Linked DNA regions of Sus scrofa. The protein of the gene in region 1 interacts with the protein of each later gene in a pairwise test. Links are inferred from orthologs where the notes say so. Each region holds a gene or a part of one and is shown on either strand. Other genes may lie near its edges.

What was found. The genes of interacting proteins can lie anywhere in the genome.
Region 2: the proteins of UBE2K (region 1) and TRIM39 interact in binary tests that used the Homo sapiens proteins (3 or more experiments, as listed by UniProt). The link is inferred for Sus scrofa from reciprocal best matches to the Homo sapiens genes UBE2K and TRIM39.

The regions. Positions count from the first base shown.
Region 1 is NC_010450.4:30,884,874-30,892,462, forward strand, and holds the start of UBE2K (ubiquitin-conjugating enzyme E2 K), read left to right. Parts: upstream 1-3,120; coding exon 3,121-3,183; intron 3,184-7,589. UniProt on the Homo sapiens protein: Accepts ubiquitin from the E1 complex and catalyzes its covalent attachment to other proteins. In vitro, in the presence or in the absence of BRCA1-BARD1 E3 ubiquitin-protein ligase complex, catalyzes the synthesis of 'Lys-48'-linked polyubiquitin chains.
Region 2 is NC_010449.5:23,046,954-23,054,382, reverse strand, and holds the start of TRIM39 (tripartite motif-containing protein 39), read right to left. Parts: upstream 4,182-7,429; coding exon 3,729-4,181; intron 2,444-3,728; coding exon 2,348-2,443; intron 1-2,347.

The sequences.
Region 1 (7,589 bases):
GAACTAGATCATAGTAGTGAAGAACTTATATTCTGCATTACTGGAAACTCATTTTTAAAAATTTAATTTTGAATAGGTAAAATATACAATAGGATACATGTTGAAAAGTCTCCCACTTTGCCTTCCCCGAGGAACTTAAGTTGCCTTCTTAGAGATAATCACTGTTGTCGGTTTCTGATGTATTTTTCCAATGATATTTTAAGGATTCACAAGCACATACGCAAGCATATTCCTTTCTTCCTTCACAAATATGTTGGTACGCTACACACAATATGGACTGAACAGTGATTTTTTAAAGTAAAGTTTTTCCTTTGGAATAATTTTGGATTTACAGAGAAGTTTCAGAGAATTTGAATATTCTTTATTCATTTCTAAGGTCAGCATCTTACCTAAACAGTACCCTGTCAAAACTAAGGAATTAACATTGCTACAATACTATAAACTAAATTACAGAATTTATTCAGATTTTAATAGTTATGTCCTTTTGGTTCTAGGGTCCAATCCAGGATATCACATTGCTTTTAGCACAATGCTCTTTTTCCCTTAAAATGTATTTTGAGGATTGTCTCCTATCAGTCAGTATGAGGTTGCCTCATAAAATGTAAAAATGCACTGAAAGTGGAATTTCAGGGCCAGTGACTACATGCATTTAAAAATCATCAGGAGTTCCCGTCGTGGCGCAGTGGTTAACGAATCCGACTAGGAACCATGAGGTTGCGGGTTCGGTCCCTGCCCTTGCTCAGTGGGTTAACAAGCCAGCGTTGCCGTGAGCTGTGGTGTAGGTCGCAGACGCAGCTCGGATCCCGTGTTGCTGTGGCTCTGGCGTGGGCCGGTGGCTACAGCTCCGATTCAACCCCTAGCCTGGGAACCTCCATATGCCCCGGAGTGGCTCAAAGAAATAGCAAAAAAGACCAAAATAAATAAATAAATAAATAAAAATTATCAAACATCTCTTCCCCAAAGAAGTTAGCATACCCATCTAACCAGTCCACTTGTGATTTGAGTGTTGTAAATTTCTTTAAAGTTCCAAGATTAACATTGGGGACTGAATGAAGGTGATAAGCATAAGGTATTCAAAAATTTTTCACACTTCAAAATAATTATTTTTAATGTGCCGGCATAAATACACATAGCATTGCACGATTTATGCATTCATTATACCAGTAATTCATTGTGCCACGACCCACATGTATAGTTGGTTCCTCTTAGAACCACTAGGGGGCTCTGCTGGAAGGGTTTTACAGCTTATGTTAGTCCCTTCAGGGAAATTTTCCCAGATGTTTTAGAATAATGAACTCTTAAAACTTGAGAGAGATCATCTTATCCAGCTTCCTTATTCTGCAAAATAGGAAACCAAGGTTGGCCAAGAGAGCTGAAATGGAGGAGAGCTGGAATTAAAAATCCCTTCTTGGTTCCCGTGGCAGTAGTTCAATAAGTTCATTTTTGCCAAGTGCCTCCGTGAGTGGTTCACTCCAAGTGCTTACTTTCTTTTTCAGTGCCACAATTTCAGTAATTTTTGCTGAGACGGTGATTTCGTGATATTCTTCTAATAGGATACTTTACTGATTGGTTAAAGTATCCTATTAGAAACATAGTGAAAGAAGTGACTTTAATATAACTTCTAAATAAACATAATTACTTATTACAAAATGTTTTCTATTCAAAGCACCTCTCAGCATCAAAACCATATTACCTAGGAGTTCCTTTGTGCTGCAGTGGGTTAAGGGTCTGGCCTTGTCACTGCAGCGGCTTGGGTCACAGTTATGTCGAGGGTTCGATCTCTGGTCCAGGAACTTACAAATGCCGCAGGCTCGGCCAAAAGAAAAAAACACTCAAAACCCCCCCAAATCCACAACCATATTACTTATTGGAAACTTTAGCAACCGCTTTCAAATTTACTTTCCATTTAAAACATTTTAGTCTTATCGTTACTCATTTATTCATTCAATATTTATTAAGGGCCTTAATAGGCACCAGGCACAGTTGTAGATCCTAGGTTTAAGTAAGTAAAGCTGCCCTTCTCGCCCAAGAAACATCTACTACTCCATTTTTCACTTTAATATATAAACTATTTTCACATGTTCAGTGGTTCCCACTGTGTGGCTCCAGAAGCAGCGGCAGGAGCAGCTGCATCTGGGAACTTGTTACAAATGCAAATTATTAGGCCCACCCTATACTCTAGGAATGGGGCCCAGCAATCCGTTTTCTTTTTATTTTTTAACAAGTTATTCAGGGATCCTAATGTACATTCGAGTTCCAAAACTATGGTTTTAGTTCCAGGGCTTGGTATTAATTACCTAAGCAGGTCAAAGATCAACACCTGGCTTCTAAATTCCATGGAGTACTGGTCTCAAATAAAATTGATGAGACCCATACTTAACTTTATAATTTGTTGTACCTGTTAAGATCCTGGAATGATCGTAGTAATAGCAGCACCGTAAGAGCTTCATAACAAAAATGAACCTCAGTGCATTTGCCGGGCCTACACCAAGAAAAAATAGGCCAGACTGAATTCCAGGACAGTGTTTTCAGACACTAAACACAGGCAGGCACACTAAGCCTGTGGGTTCTGGGTCTGGCTGAGTCAGGGCGGCGCTCCAAACCGAGTGGAGCCGCGTGAACCCGTCAGGCTGGACTCGAACCTTCGGTTACAGGCCACGGTCTGGAAGCCTGGACCATACACCTGGTTCGAAGAGGGGCAGAGACGCCTGAGAGGACCGAGGAGGCCGGGGCAGCGCTGACCAGCGCGGAAGCCGCACCCTCCAGGCCTCAGACGCCGGCAGGGCGGAGCCACGCGGCCGCAGCTCGGGCAGAGACGCGCGGCGCGGGGCGGCGCGGCGCGGGTTCGCAGCTGAGGCGTATGGGGCTACAACGGGAGCGGCTGCGCCGCCCGGTCAGGTCAGCGTCGTGCGCAGGCGCGGACCTGGCGCCATTTTGGTGGCCGGGCGCGGAGGTGATTCCACACTGAGGAGAGCGCGGCGGCCGGAGTGGCAGTGGCAGCGTTCGTGTGCTCTGGTGTGAATCGCCGAGGGAGGAGGCGGTGGAGGAAGAGGTGGCGGCGGTGGCGGTGGTCGTAGCGGTGGCGGAGGAGGCGGGTACGAATCAGCTGCGGGCGGAGACATGGCCAACATCGCGGTGCAGCGAATCAAGCGGGAGTTCAAGGAGGTGCTGAAGAGCGAGGAGGTCAGAAATGAACTCCCGAACGTCCCCCACCTCAGCCCATGGCGGGAGGGTCCTTCCACTGGCGTCCCCAATATCCCTAGTAACGCCCGAGTGGCCCTCTTTGCGGCCGCCCTTCTGCCTGTGGGGAAGCAGCAGTCTCCCCCTCCTTCCGCCGCCTTCCCCTCCCCTTCCAGGGCCCTGGGATGGACGGTCTCGCGGGCGGGTGATCTGGAGAGGAATCAGATTGGGGGGGGCAGATGGAGAAGGGGGCGCTTAGACGCGGGGTGTGAGCTCTTGAAAGAGCCCCTAGATAGTGGCAACAGCTGGAAGTGTGGTTGTAGGGTGGGGAGTGAGCAGGCCGAGCCTGAGAAAACCCGGGAAGTAGGTTGGGGGAAGGGGAAAGGTGGTAACTGGATCCCGAGAGCTGCGCTGCTCAAAGGCCCTCACTTTTAAGGGTATTCTGGGTTGTAGCCGATCTGGCCGCCGCTGTCCTTTCCTTAGGGAAGGAGCGATGAGAGTTCCTAGGTATTGATGAAAGAAGGCCGTTCAGAGTTACTCCCTTTTAGTTGGGTGTTGGAAGAGAGAGCAAGACATAATGGGGTACTGTCTATATTGTTTAAGTGGGGGATAAGGGCATTGCCACTTGAGATAGGAAATTAATTCCATGTTAGAGAATTATCTCATTTCCACTTACCCCCAAATCCTAGGCCTCTTTTTTGTAGGCACCTAAAGCTTTTTGACTAGGTAAAGGCAGGTTGTTTGGTGTGTTAAAGACATTTAAATATTTATAGCTGGGATTAGGACATATAATGGAGTGTATGAGTAGCTTATTTTAAAATGTTTACAAGTTACAGATCAGAGTCTGTTTTAAGACATTGCCTCTGTGACACTGCTGTGTTGTGCCATGAAACTTCATTATGATGTCCCTCATAGTTAACTTGATTCTTACTATTGAAAAACAGTGCTATTAAAAAAAACATGAGGTTTCAGCAGATTAATACATTGTTATATCTCCTTATTAAACATGACATTTCAGCAGATTAATAAATACATTGTTATATCTCCTTATCCCAACATCTATCTGAAAGGATTAAAAAGTTTTTTTGTCTCAAGCTCCTCTTGAGTCCTGTAGAACACTCTAGTGTTGGCCACATTTATTAATATGTTTTAAATGTTTTAGTAATTTAGTAATTTGACTCAATTATGAATCAGTGTAATTTTTCATACCCAAATCAACGAGAATGCTAGGTTGTTTTTCCTTGTTGGATTCAACAAAGAAAGATTGAGCATATTGAATGGTTATTTTCAAAATATCACACACCATTATTGAAAGTATCATTACTATATGTGTTTTTCTCTTATATCAATACTTTGACGAGCTCAGTGATTTGTGAAATTTAGCATTCTAAGTATGTGATGAATTCTGGATATAAGTCTGATAGCACTTGAACTATATTTGTGCCACCGAGTCTTTCCAATTAGACTTGCAGAAAATTCTTTAAAATTACTAAAAAATGCCAAACACCAGCAGATTTATTGAATGTAATAGTTATGTGAGTAATAATTGGTTTTACCGAGCATGTGTATGAACTCTGACCTCTGTATTTGTTCAGGTGCCAAAACTCTGAATGGAAGGATGACTTTGTATTTTTGTGGTACATTGTAGAAATAGAGTCATAAATGCTTGTACTGACAATACAATGAAACAATGATTCTAAATTCTTGTTTAATAAGAAAATATATTCCAGGATAGTTGACATATATATTCCTAATAGAAGATTGCGGGTAATATTGCTAGTAGCCTAAAACATTTCTCTAATATGGTTGTACAAGCCTGAAATATAAGATTTTAACGCTTTATTTTCTGTTACTTAAAAGTGGTAAGTACTGTTCTCGTAATTCATATGATCTGATTGCATATTGTGAGGTGACTTTTCACAATATTCTTAGTACTTAAATTGAAGCTTAAAAGAAATCTTGTATTGCTTTAGTAATGCATATTGTTAAAATTACATGTAAGGGATGATGAAATCTTGCTGTCAAGTAAGTGTTTCAGAGGAAGAAAGTAGAAAATACAAACATTTTATTTTTTTAACAAGAGTGCCTTTATAAATCTGAAAGGAAACATCTTCCAGAAAGTAAGTTGCAAAGAACATTTAGAAAAGGGTCAGGTAATTTAATTTTGGAATATAACCAATAAATAGTTTTATTTTCACCAATATTTTATTTCATTGATATTTTAATAAGCCCAGTTCTATAATTGGATTATATTATTTTCAACTCATTGAAGAACTTATAATACAGTCCATGTATTTCTTTTTTAATGTATGTAAAGGCAATATTTGAATGGCTTGTCAGATAGTCAAGTATTTCCTCATGTCACCTATGTAAATCTTCATTTTACTAAAGTTTATTTCATATGGTTGTGCTTACTAGGAATGGTTTAAGGACTCCTCTCCAACCCCGCGCCTTTTTAAGTGCCTTTGTGAAAAGATAACTGACATTTGCTGAATTCTGGCTCTAAGAAGTTGTAAGTGGCCATTCTTGGAGTGTGTTGTTAAAATATAGCCTCCCAGATCAGTGTGAAAAGCACAGTGCAGAATAGTGGGAGGAGGCCACCATTTCTGGGGAGATACGTGTATTTGTTTGTATAGGTGAAAGGATTAATGAGAAATTGGTAGTGTTGATTGCTTCTGGGTGGGGGACTTGGGTGTCCCGGGCAACTGGCATCAGAAGATCCCTCTTAGGAGTTCCTCTGTGGCTCAGCAGGTTAAGGATCCAGCATTGTCACTGCAGTGGCTGGATTGCTGCTGTGGCATGGGTTCAGTCCCTGGCCCAGGAACTTCTGCATGCCACAGGTGTGGCCAAAAAAAAAAAAAAAAAAGATCCTGGAGTTCCTTTTGTGGCTCATCAGAACCGAATCTGACGAGCATCCCTGAAGATGCAGGTTCGATCCTTGGCCTCGCTCAGTGGGTTAAGGATCTGGCATTGCCATCAGCTGTGGTGTAGGATCCCAGGCTCTGATCTGGTGTTGCTGTGGCTGTGATGTAGGCCGGTAACTGTAGCTCTCATTTGACCCCTAGCCTGGGAACTTCCATATGCTTCAGGTATGGGACTAAAACGACCGAAAAAACTGGAGCCTGATTTGTATTACTGATTAAAGGATTTAAACACAACCTAACTTGTTAGTTTAAGCATTAAAATAAATGTTACGTGTAATTAAAATTTTGCTTGCATTTCAATATGCAAAATACTTTTAAGAGTTCCTGTTGTGGCACAGTGGGTTAAAGGATCTAGCATTGCTGCAGCTGTGGCATAGGTTGCAGTTGCAGCTCCAATTCAGTTCCTGGCTTGGGAACTTCCTATGCCACGGGTGCGGCCATTAAAACAAACCCCCAAATATTTTTAAATTCAAAGCTCAGTGAAATAGGCGTTCCCTTCGTGGCTCAGCGGAAGCGAATCTGACTGACTAGTATCCGTAAGGATACATCTTCAGTCCCTGGCTTCTCTCAGTGGGTTAAGGATCCAGCATTGCTGTGAGCTCTGGTATAGGTCACAGACATGGCTCAGATCTTGTGTTGCCATGGCCGTGACATAGGCCAGTGACTACAGTTCCAATTCCAGTTCGACCCCTAGCCTGGGAACCTCCATATGCCGTGGGTGCAGCTCTAAAAAGACCAAAAAAAAAAAAAGGCTCAGTGAAGTAAAACACCCTTAAATCAGTGTACATACTTTTTTGCTTGTTCTTGTGTATGGTACCTGCAGGTTTTTTTCATATTGTAGCTTCGCTTTGCTACATTTCTAGGATCCTCAAGGAGTATTTAAATCAACGGCATTAACAAATTGATTTTTTGAAAACTACTATTGTATAAGTTTTTCTTAAGCATTTTAATGGATTTTTGTATTGTTATTTTACGTTTTATATATTTGATCTAGATTATTCTGTATAGAACTAGTTGCAGATCTTCAGAAGAAAGTCTCTTGGTTTCTGTAGACCATGGTTTTTCCAACCTTGGCACTATTGACATTTGGGGCATATAATGAATTCTTTGTTGTGGGTGGTTCTCCTGTGCATTGTAGGATGTTTAGCAGTATCTCTGACTAATAGCATTAGATGCCAGTAGCACAGCCAGTCTTTCCCCCACCTCCTTACTCTCTTCCTGTCAATTGTATTGACTAAAAATGTCTCCAGACTTTGCCAAATGTTGAGAACCACTGCTATAGACAGAACTCTTTAGAAGAACATTTAGGACTGTTAACTATGTAAGATATGTAGTATAAATTATCTAAAATATGAATGGACAGTAAGGATACAGAAAATTATATAGCGTGGTTACTGCTAGCTTTGAACATTCTGTTTTTGTTTTTAAGACTTTGCCCCTTATCAATTAATCATTAACTTTTTGTTTTAAACTTTTCTCCTCTTT
Region 2 (7,429 bases), on another chromosome or scaffold:
AACCCTCCAAAAGGACAAAGAACTTTTTTCGAAATGAACTAATTTTTCAAAATTAGTTCAAGTTCTAAAAAATTCAAATGCTTGTTTGTTAAAATGTATAAAGGACCAAGGTAATACTTAGTAATACTGAATAATACTTACTTCTTGTTGAAATGTTGTCATTGTTTTAAAAAAGTTAGTGTTTCTACTAATTTCAAACCTGTGTTTAATTTTTTGTGGTCCCTAAATATCAACTCCAAAAACGACTCATTATTTCTTCTAGAAATCTTTTTTCTTTCTTTCTCTCTCTTTTACTTTTTTTTGGCTGTGCCCAAGGCATACGAAAATTCCAGGGCCAGGGAATAAATAAGCGCAGCAGTAACCCAAGCCACTGAAATGACAGCACCAAATCCTTAACCTGCTGCATCACAGGAGAGCCCCTCTTCTGGAAGTCCTTGATGAGGTTAAGTTTCTACACTGTCTCCTTATGAATTTGCAACTGTGCTTTTTGTGCTATGTCATTTCTATTTTCTCCACTTGACTATAAGCTGAAGGACGGTAGGGACTGTGTTTTTGCTCATCGTTGTTCCCCAGTATCAAAGACAGGGTTTGGCCTATACTAGACGCTTAGTAAATATTTATTTGTTCGTTTTGTTTTTTTTTGGTCTTTTTAGTGCTGCTCCTGTGGCATAGAGGTTCCCAGGCTAGAGGTGGAATCGGAGCTGCAGCTGCTGGCCTACACCATAACCACAGAAATGCTAGATCCAAGCCACATCTTCAACCTACACCACAACTCATGGCTGTGCCAGATCCTTAACCCACTTAGTGAGGCCAGGTATTGAACCCATGTCCTCATAGATATTAGTCAGGTTCATTACTGCTGAGCCATGATGGCAACTCCTTAGTAAATATTTATTGATTCATGTAGCATTAGTGTCCCTGGTAATTCTCTGATGGCCTAGTGGGTTGAGGCTCCTACATTCTCACCACTGAGATTCTGGCTGCTGCTGTGCTCTGTGGTGTAGGTTTGATCCCTGGCCCAGGAATTCCCACATACTGCCTGTGTGGCAAAAAAGGAAAAAACAAAACAAAACAAAAACAACAACAACAACAAAACAAGAGAGAACCTGAAATAAATGTTGCAACTCACATTAAAAAAAGAAAAAAAACAAAGAATTTGCATCCCTGGTTTTGCCACACACTGGCTATATGATCTTGGACTAGTCACTTATCAAGTTCTGTTTCCTCCTGTGTAAACTGGGGATAACAATACTTACCTTACAGGGTCTCTAAGTTCACTCTTGCCAAATATGACTTCCTGGACTCCCTTCTTCTTATCTTGTACCTTCTCTACGTCCCATTTGAGCCAAGTCTAGCCTGAATTCTTAGAACTTCAATCCGGGCAGAACTCTAAGACCTAACACAATCCTGAAAGTTTGGAATGTCTTGGATACCTAATGAATTAATGCTCAGGGCTCAATAAATACTAGTTATTATTACTGCTACTATTAATACATGTCTCACTGTCCAATAGAAGAAATAGGACAGATACCAAAATACCATGCTACAAATATGTTAATGCTATGGAAGAGATGCAAAACTGTATGCAAATTAAAAGAGCCAATTTCTAAAGGTTCCAGAAAGGCTACATAAGCAGTGGTTTTCACCAATAGGATCCTACAGTAGAGGATGGGGAAAGGAAGACTATCCTAGAAACTAACCTCATCTAGCATTTTTGAGTTTACTTGAGTTAAGAGAATGTGGTCTAGAGGTTACTGGGCAGCTCCTCCATCCTTCCTCCCGAGTGCATCTTCCACATTCTTCTTGCCTCAATCCCTCTAAGAAACTCCTATCCCTGCCCACTCAGCAGAGAGCCTTCTTCCCTGCCTTACAAAGAAAAGGAGACCAACAGGCATGAACTCCCTCAACTCCACAGATATAAGATATTCTGTCCTTCACCTCTTCCATCTTTCTCAATACTTAATCCATGACAATTAATCTAAGTACAATGTTTAATGACAATCAAGCTTAATAAAAATACCATCATTTCTGAGAGAACAGCATTTTTCTTTTTCTTTCTTTTTATGGCCGCGTATAGAAGTTCCTGGGCCAGGGACTGAATCTCAGCCACAGCTGCAACCTAACACCACAGCTGTGGCAACGATGAATCCTTAATTCACTGCACTGGGCCGGGGATTGAACCCTTGCTGCCTCAGAGACAACGAGGGATCCTTAACCCACCGTGCCACAGCGGGAGCTCCGAGAATAGCATTTTTCTAAGGAACCAGAACTGGGGGGGTTAAATAATGTGTGGTTAATGTTTGGTTAACTGCCTGTAGAGCAGCCCAAATGGATCTCCTGCCTTTACCTTGAGTTCGCCAGGCTTCTTCTCCTCAGAGGACTTGCAGCGGGTGATCTCCTGTAGCTTCTGCTCCAGGGGCTCCAGGCACTTCTGCAGTTTTTCCTGAGGGGTGCAAAGTGGGAGAATGGCATTTGGGATTATCTGGTACATCCTATGTTCAGAAACTAACCCATTTGTTTTAAATCATTTGTTTTGCTTCCTATCCATCTCTTACCACCTCTTGATGCAACTGCCTTGTCTGTCATTTGGGGTGTCAATTTCCTACAGGTCCCTCTTCCTGCCACCAACCTGTCTCCATATCACTTTCTTTGTTCACCAAACTTTCCTTTCACTGAATCTCACAGTGTCCAGCTGTCACCAACTCTCTGTCCTTCTCCTGCCCTGTTCATTTTCTTACTCATGGAACTGCCTATTACTGTCAAAGTGACCTCCTGTCCCCTGATATCTTTCTTTAAATTGTTGTCCTATCCAACTCTAACCACTTGCAAATATAATACAATCTTGATTACTTATTTTGGAAACTACCATAAAATCTTATTTCTAAGATTTTACTAATATAATTGGTCAAAGTTCTTGATAAAGTGCTAAGACATTAAAATCTCGAGTTCCTATTACTCAAACATGTATCCTGGGTCCCAGTGGTAAGTTAATCCGTATACCATGTTATCTATCATCCAGGCAAGATGCAAACAGACTGGTTCAGCTTGGCCTGGTGGAGGTCATTCTAAAGTGATGTTATCTATGCCCAATACTAGGTTAAACAAGGGGCATGTGAGCAGGAGGAAAGAATGAAGAAACCAGACTACCTTTCAGTTCTTCCTAAATTTGATCTTCTCCATGCGGTTTCATTCACTTGTGAAAAACATAATACATTCCAGGACCACACATACGCAGATGTGTTATAAAAGTCAGAGAGAAATTTTGGGATATTTCTCATTGCTTTTTTTTTGCTTTTTAGGGCCGTACCTGCAGCATATGGAGGTTCCCAGGCTAGGGGTCCAACGGAAGCTACAGCTGCTGACCTATGACACAGGTGCAGCCATGCCAGATCTGAGCCGTGTCTGCGACCTACACCATAGCTCATGGCAACACTGGATCCTTAACCCTCTGAGCAAGGCCAGGGATCAAACCTGCAACCTCATGGTTCCTAGTCAGATTTCTTTCCACTGTGCCATGATGGGAACTCCTCTCACTGCTCTTCTTCATGCCTGAGGATAACTGATCAGATGTGCTGTGTGCCTAGTGTATGTAGCTCTGAGGGGAATACAGAGTGAGGACCAGATACCATCTTGCCCTCAGGAACTTATGATCTTCTACCCAGGGAATCTCTCACCCTCTGCACTCCTCTCCCTTGCCCTGCATTAGCATCATGTGTCTGGTTCCTTACCTTGTACTCCTGGGTGGCATCATCCAGTGGCACAACGGTATGGGCCCGGTGAGTGTGGGAAATTGCACATATCAAACAGACAGCCTCCTGGTCCTCATAGCAGAAGAGGCTGAGGGCCTCGTGGTGCTGGGGGCAGAGGCTCTCATCTCGGATCTTCCGCTTGACAGCTTGGAGCTGCTTGGCAATTTCCACCATACTGCCCAGCTGTCGATTAGGCCGGAGGCTGCGGTAGCGGGATGTCTTTCGACAGACAGGGCAAGGGAAGTCCCTCTCTAGGTCCTCCCACCAGCGGGTGATGCAAGCTTTGCAGAAGTTGTGCCCACACTCAATGATGACAGGCTCCTTCAGATACTCCAGGCACACAGAACAACTTGCCTCCACCTGTAAGTTCTCCAGCGCTGCAGCTGTGGAGGCTGCAGAGGCCCCGGCCTCTAACAGACTTGTCTCTGCCATTATTTAACTTGAAGTTAGGAAGGGGGAAGAGGAAAGAAAAATGTTAATTGGAGGTTTAATTTTTTGGCATCCCTGACCTGACATGTACGTCCATGTTAAACGCTAACTGCAGATTTAGTCCCTTCGTGGTATTTTACATCTTCTCTCCCACTAGTCAAGCTCTTTTGTTTCTCCATTTCCAAAACTTGTGACTCCCAGACATTAACTTTTTTTTTCTCTGCAGCAAACTGACATATAACCCTCAATCTCTTGTCTATTATCACTTCCTCTTGTTAGAAACAGAGGCCCCTTTCAACTTTAGCCCAAAGTACTTCTCCTGATTCTGTTTCATTCCATTTGTGTCTTAGAACCAATAGTTCCAGACCAATGAATTCCTGGTTGGACATACTTATCTTTTTTGGCTGTGCCCATGGCAGGTGGAAGTTCCCAGGCCAGGGACTGAACCAAAGCCACAGCAGTGAAAATGTCAGATCCTTAACTGGCTGAGCCACCAAAGAACTCCAACACATTTTTCTTTTTGCTTTTTAGGGCCAAAAAAAGAACTTCCACAGCATATGGAAGTTCTCAGGCTACTGGTCAATTTGGAGCTACAGCTGCCGGCCAATTATACCACAGCCACAGCAACTCTGAAGCAGAGCTGCATCTGCAACCTACACCATGGCTCATGGCAATCCAAGCAAGGCCAGGGATTGAACCTGCATCTTCATGGATACTAGTAGGATTTGTGTCCGCTGCGCCACAATGGGAACTCCCCGACATATTTTTTCTAATGGATGAGAAAGGAGTTTCAGAAAGTGGAATGTGCCATAAAAGTCAAGCATTAAGGTTTCTTTCTTTCTTTTCTTTTTTGGCTGCACCCGTGGCATATGGAAGTTCCCTGGGGCCAGGGATCGAATCCCAGCTGAAGCTGTGACCTATGCCACAGCTGTAGCAATGCCAGATCCTTAACCCACTACAGCACAGCAGGAACTCCTAATTAAGGTTCCTTAAGTATGCATTAAAGCGTAATGTTACAGAAGAGTTTTACTACAATAGCCCATTGGAACCTAAGCTTGATTCTCTGGCATTGTTCTCTCACTCTTTCAAACGGTAATAAATGGAGTGAGTTAGGCAAGGGTAACAACCTCTTTTTTTCAGAAGTCTGGAATTATTCTTCCTTTTAGCAGGCTAGCCTAGAGGAAGTGTGCTATCTTTTCGGAATGAAATGATTCATACAACAACTCATTTCTATTTGTGTGCATTTGGACTTTTGGAACTGCTAGAAAGTGATAAATTCATGGCAACTGTACTAGAAAGTCTATTTCTATTACTGAGCCCAGGGCAAGAACTTCTTGAAAAGACAGCTGACATGTCTATTCTAGTATTCAGCAATGACTGGAGTCTTCTGAAATCAACATCAATAACTAATTCCTTGGATGTACTGTACCTCCAAATAATAGGTTCTGGAGTGGCTGGGAATTAAAAGTAAAGAGGCAATCAAAAACTTCCTCAAACGAAGCCTTAAAAGAATTGCAAATGCATGTAAGAGATTTATAAACCAGAAGGCTGGTCCTCTACTCCACTTAAAACATCACCACTTTTATCCACGAAAATAGTTGATTTCTCTATCCCCTTAGCCCCTCCTGTGGACCCCCCCACACACACAGAGGACCCAAGAGAATAAATTTATTAAGTCTATGTGTTGAGAGACAAGTGGCCATGTAATGATTAGGGTTAACAATGATTATTCCTGTATATATTTATGGCACACGTGAAAAGTGTTTCATTTGGAGTAGGAACTGGTTAACTTGTTTGGACCTGAATTTCTTCCCTCAACCAGAAGTTCAGTCGGATGATTTTTTTCTACCTACAGGAATCCAACTTGGACCAGTGACTATTCACTTTCCCTAACCTTCTAGAAATTAGGTGGTCTCTTCACCTGGGGTGAGTTAAACTGTATGCAGAATTAGGGACCAGGAAGGATCTAGAGTGGTAAAGAAGCAGCGTGAGAGATGGGGAAAAGGTTAAGGAAATATGAGGAGAGAATTTGGAGCTACAGCAATAGTGTGGCTTTGGGTGTCTCTGGGTTGGTCATTTCTTAGCCTCTACTCCTCATATCTCAGTAGAAGGGCAAACTTCGGAAACGTCCTCGTTTTGTTTCTACCACTGTCCTGGGTCCCGCCGTACGACCCGCTCCTGAGCGTGGTCCACGACTCGGTCCCACCCCGTCTCCATTTCTCCCGCCAGATCTGGCGCAGGGGGACTGGAGAGGGGGAAAGGAAACGCCGTGGTTGGCAGGGAGGGAGGGATGAGTGTCCAGGTGAGAAGAAGGTGTGACGTGAAGGTGGGATGCCCGCCGCTATGACGCGGCCGAGACCCGCGGTGACGGCGTCAGAGTTTCACCCGGGGAGGTGAGCGGCAGCGGGACGGGGGAACGGCGGGGTAGCCAAGCAACGCCGGACGCGCTGACGTCGCCGGGGCGGCAAAACGTCCGCCCGGGCCCGAGGCGGGCGGAGGCAGCAGTGGTTACGTGCGGGGGGCCGGTGACGCAGTCGCGGGGCGCTAGGACGCGGCGTGCGCAGCCGGCCGGCGGGGGCAGGCCCCAGGGCCCGGGCGCCGCGGCGGGACAGCACCTACCTTCCCGGCTTCGGGTCCGGGAGTGCGGGGCGCGGAGCCGCCGGAGCGCTGCCTCCCTCCTTCCTCCTCCCCCCGCCCCCGCCCCGCAGCGCGACACACAATACTCGCCGGAAGCGGAAGCCACGCCGAGAGGCTCGTGTCAGTGGAAGCCGGGGTGTCGGCGGGCGGCCGCGGGAGGGCCTAGCGACGCCTGCGGAAGAAGGAGAAGGCTGGGGGATGGAGGTGAGAACCAGCAGGAGGAGTCAAGGGCGAGAAGGGACCCGGAGGGACAGGTAGCTGAAATGCGGTCGTCCAGGTGATCCGAGGAATCCTCTGGGAAAAGAGGACCGCGCATGCGCGCGGCGGAGCGCTGAAGCCCATTGCCCTCAGGCGCCTATCCGCGCCCGGGTGGGCGAGACCCGGACAGGGTGAGGGCCAGGGCTCTCTCCTGGCTCGCCTAGTCCCGGGTGGGGCTGGGAGCCGCCGGGGGCGGGGCAAGGGCGAGTTGCGGACTTTGAGCTACACTTCTCTCCAAGCCGGCCCGGGGGAAGGTGGCTCGCCGATGCGGCGGCCAATTACGTGGCAGACCTGCGGATCTCAGCTGGCACGTCACTTCCGACTAGTTGAGGTTCAGCCTTTTAACATGCAAGGAT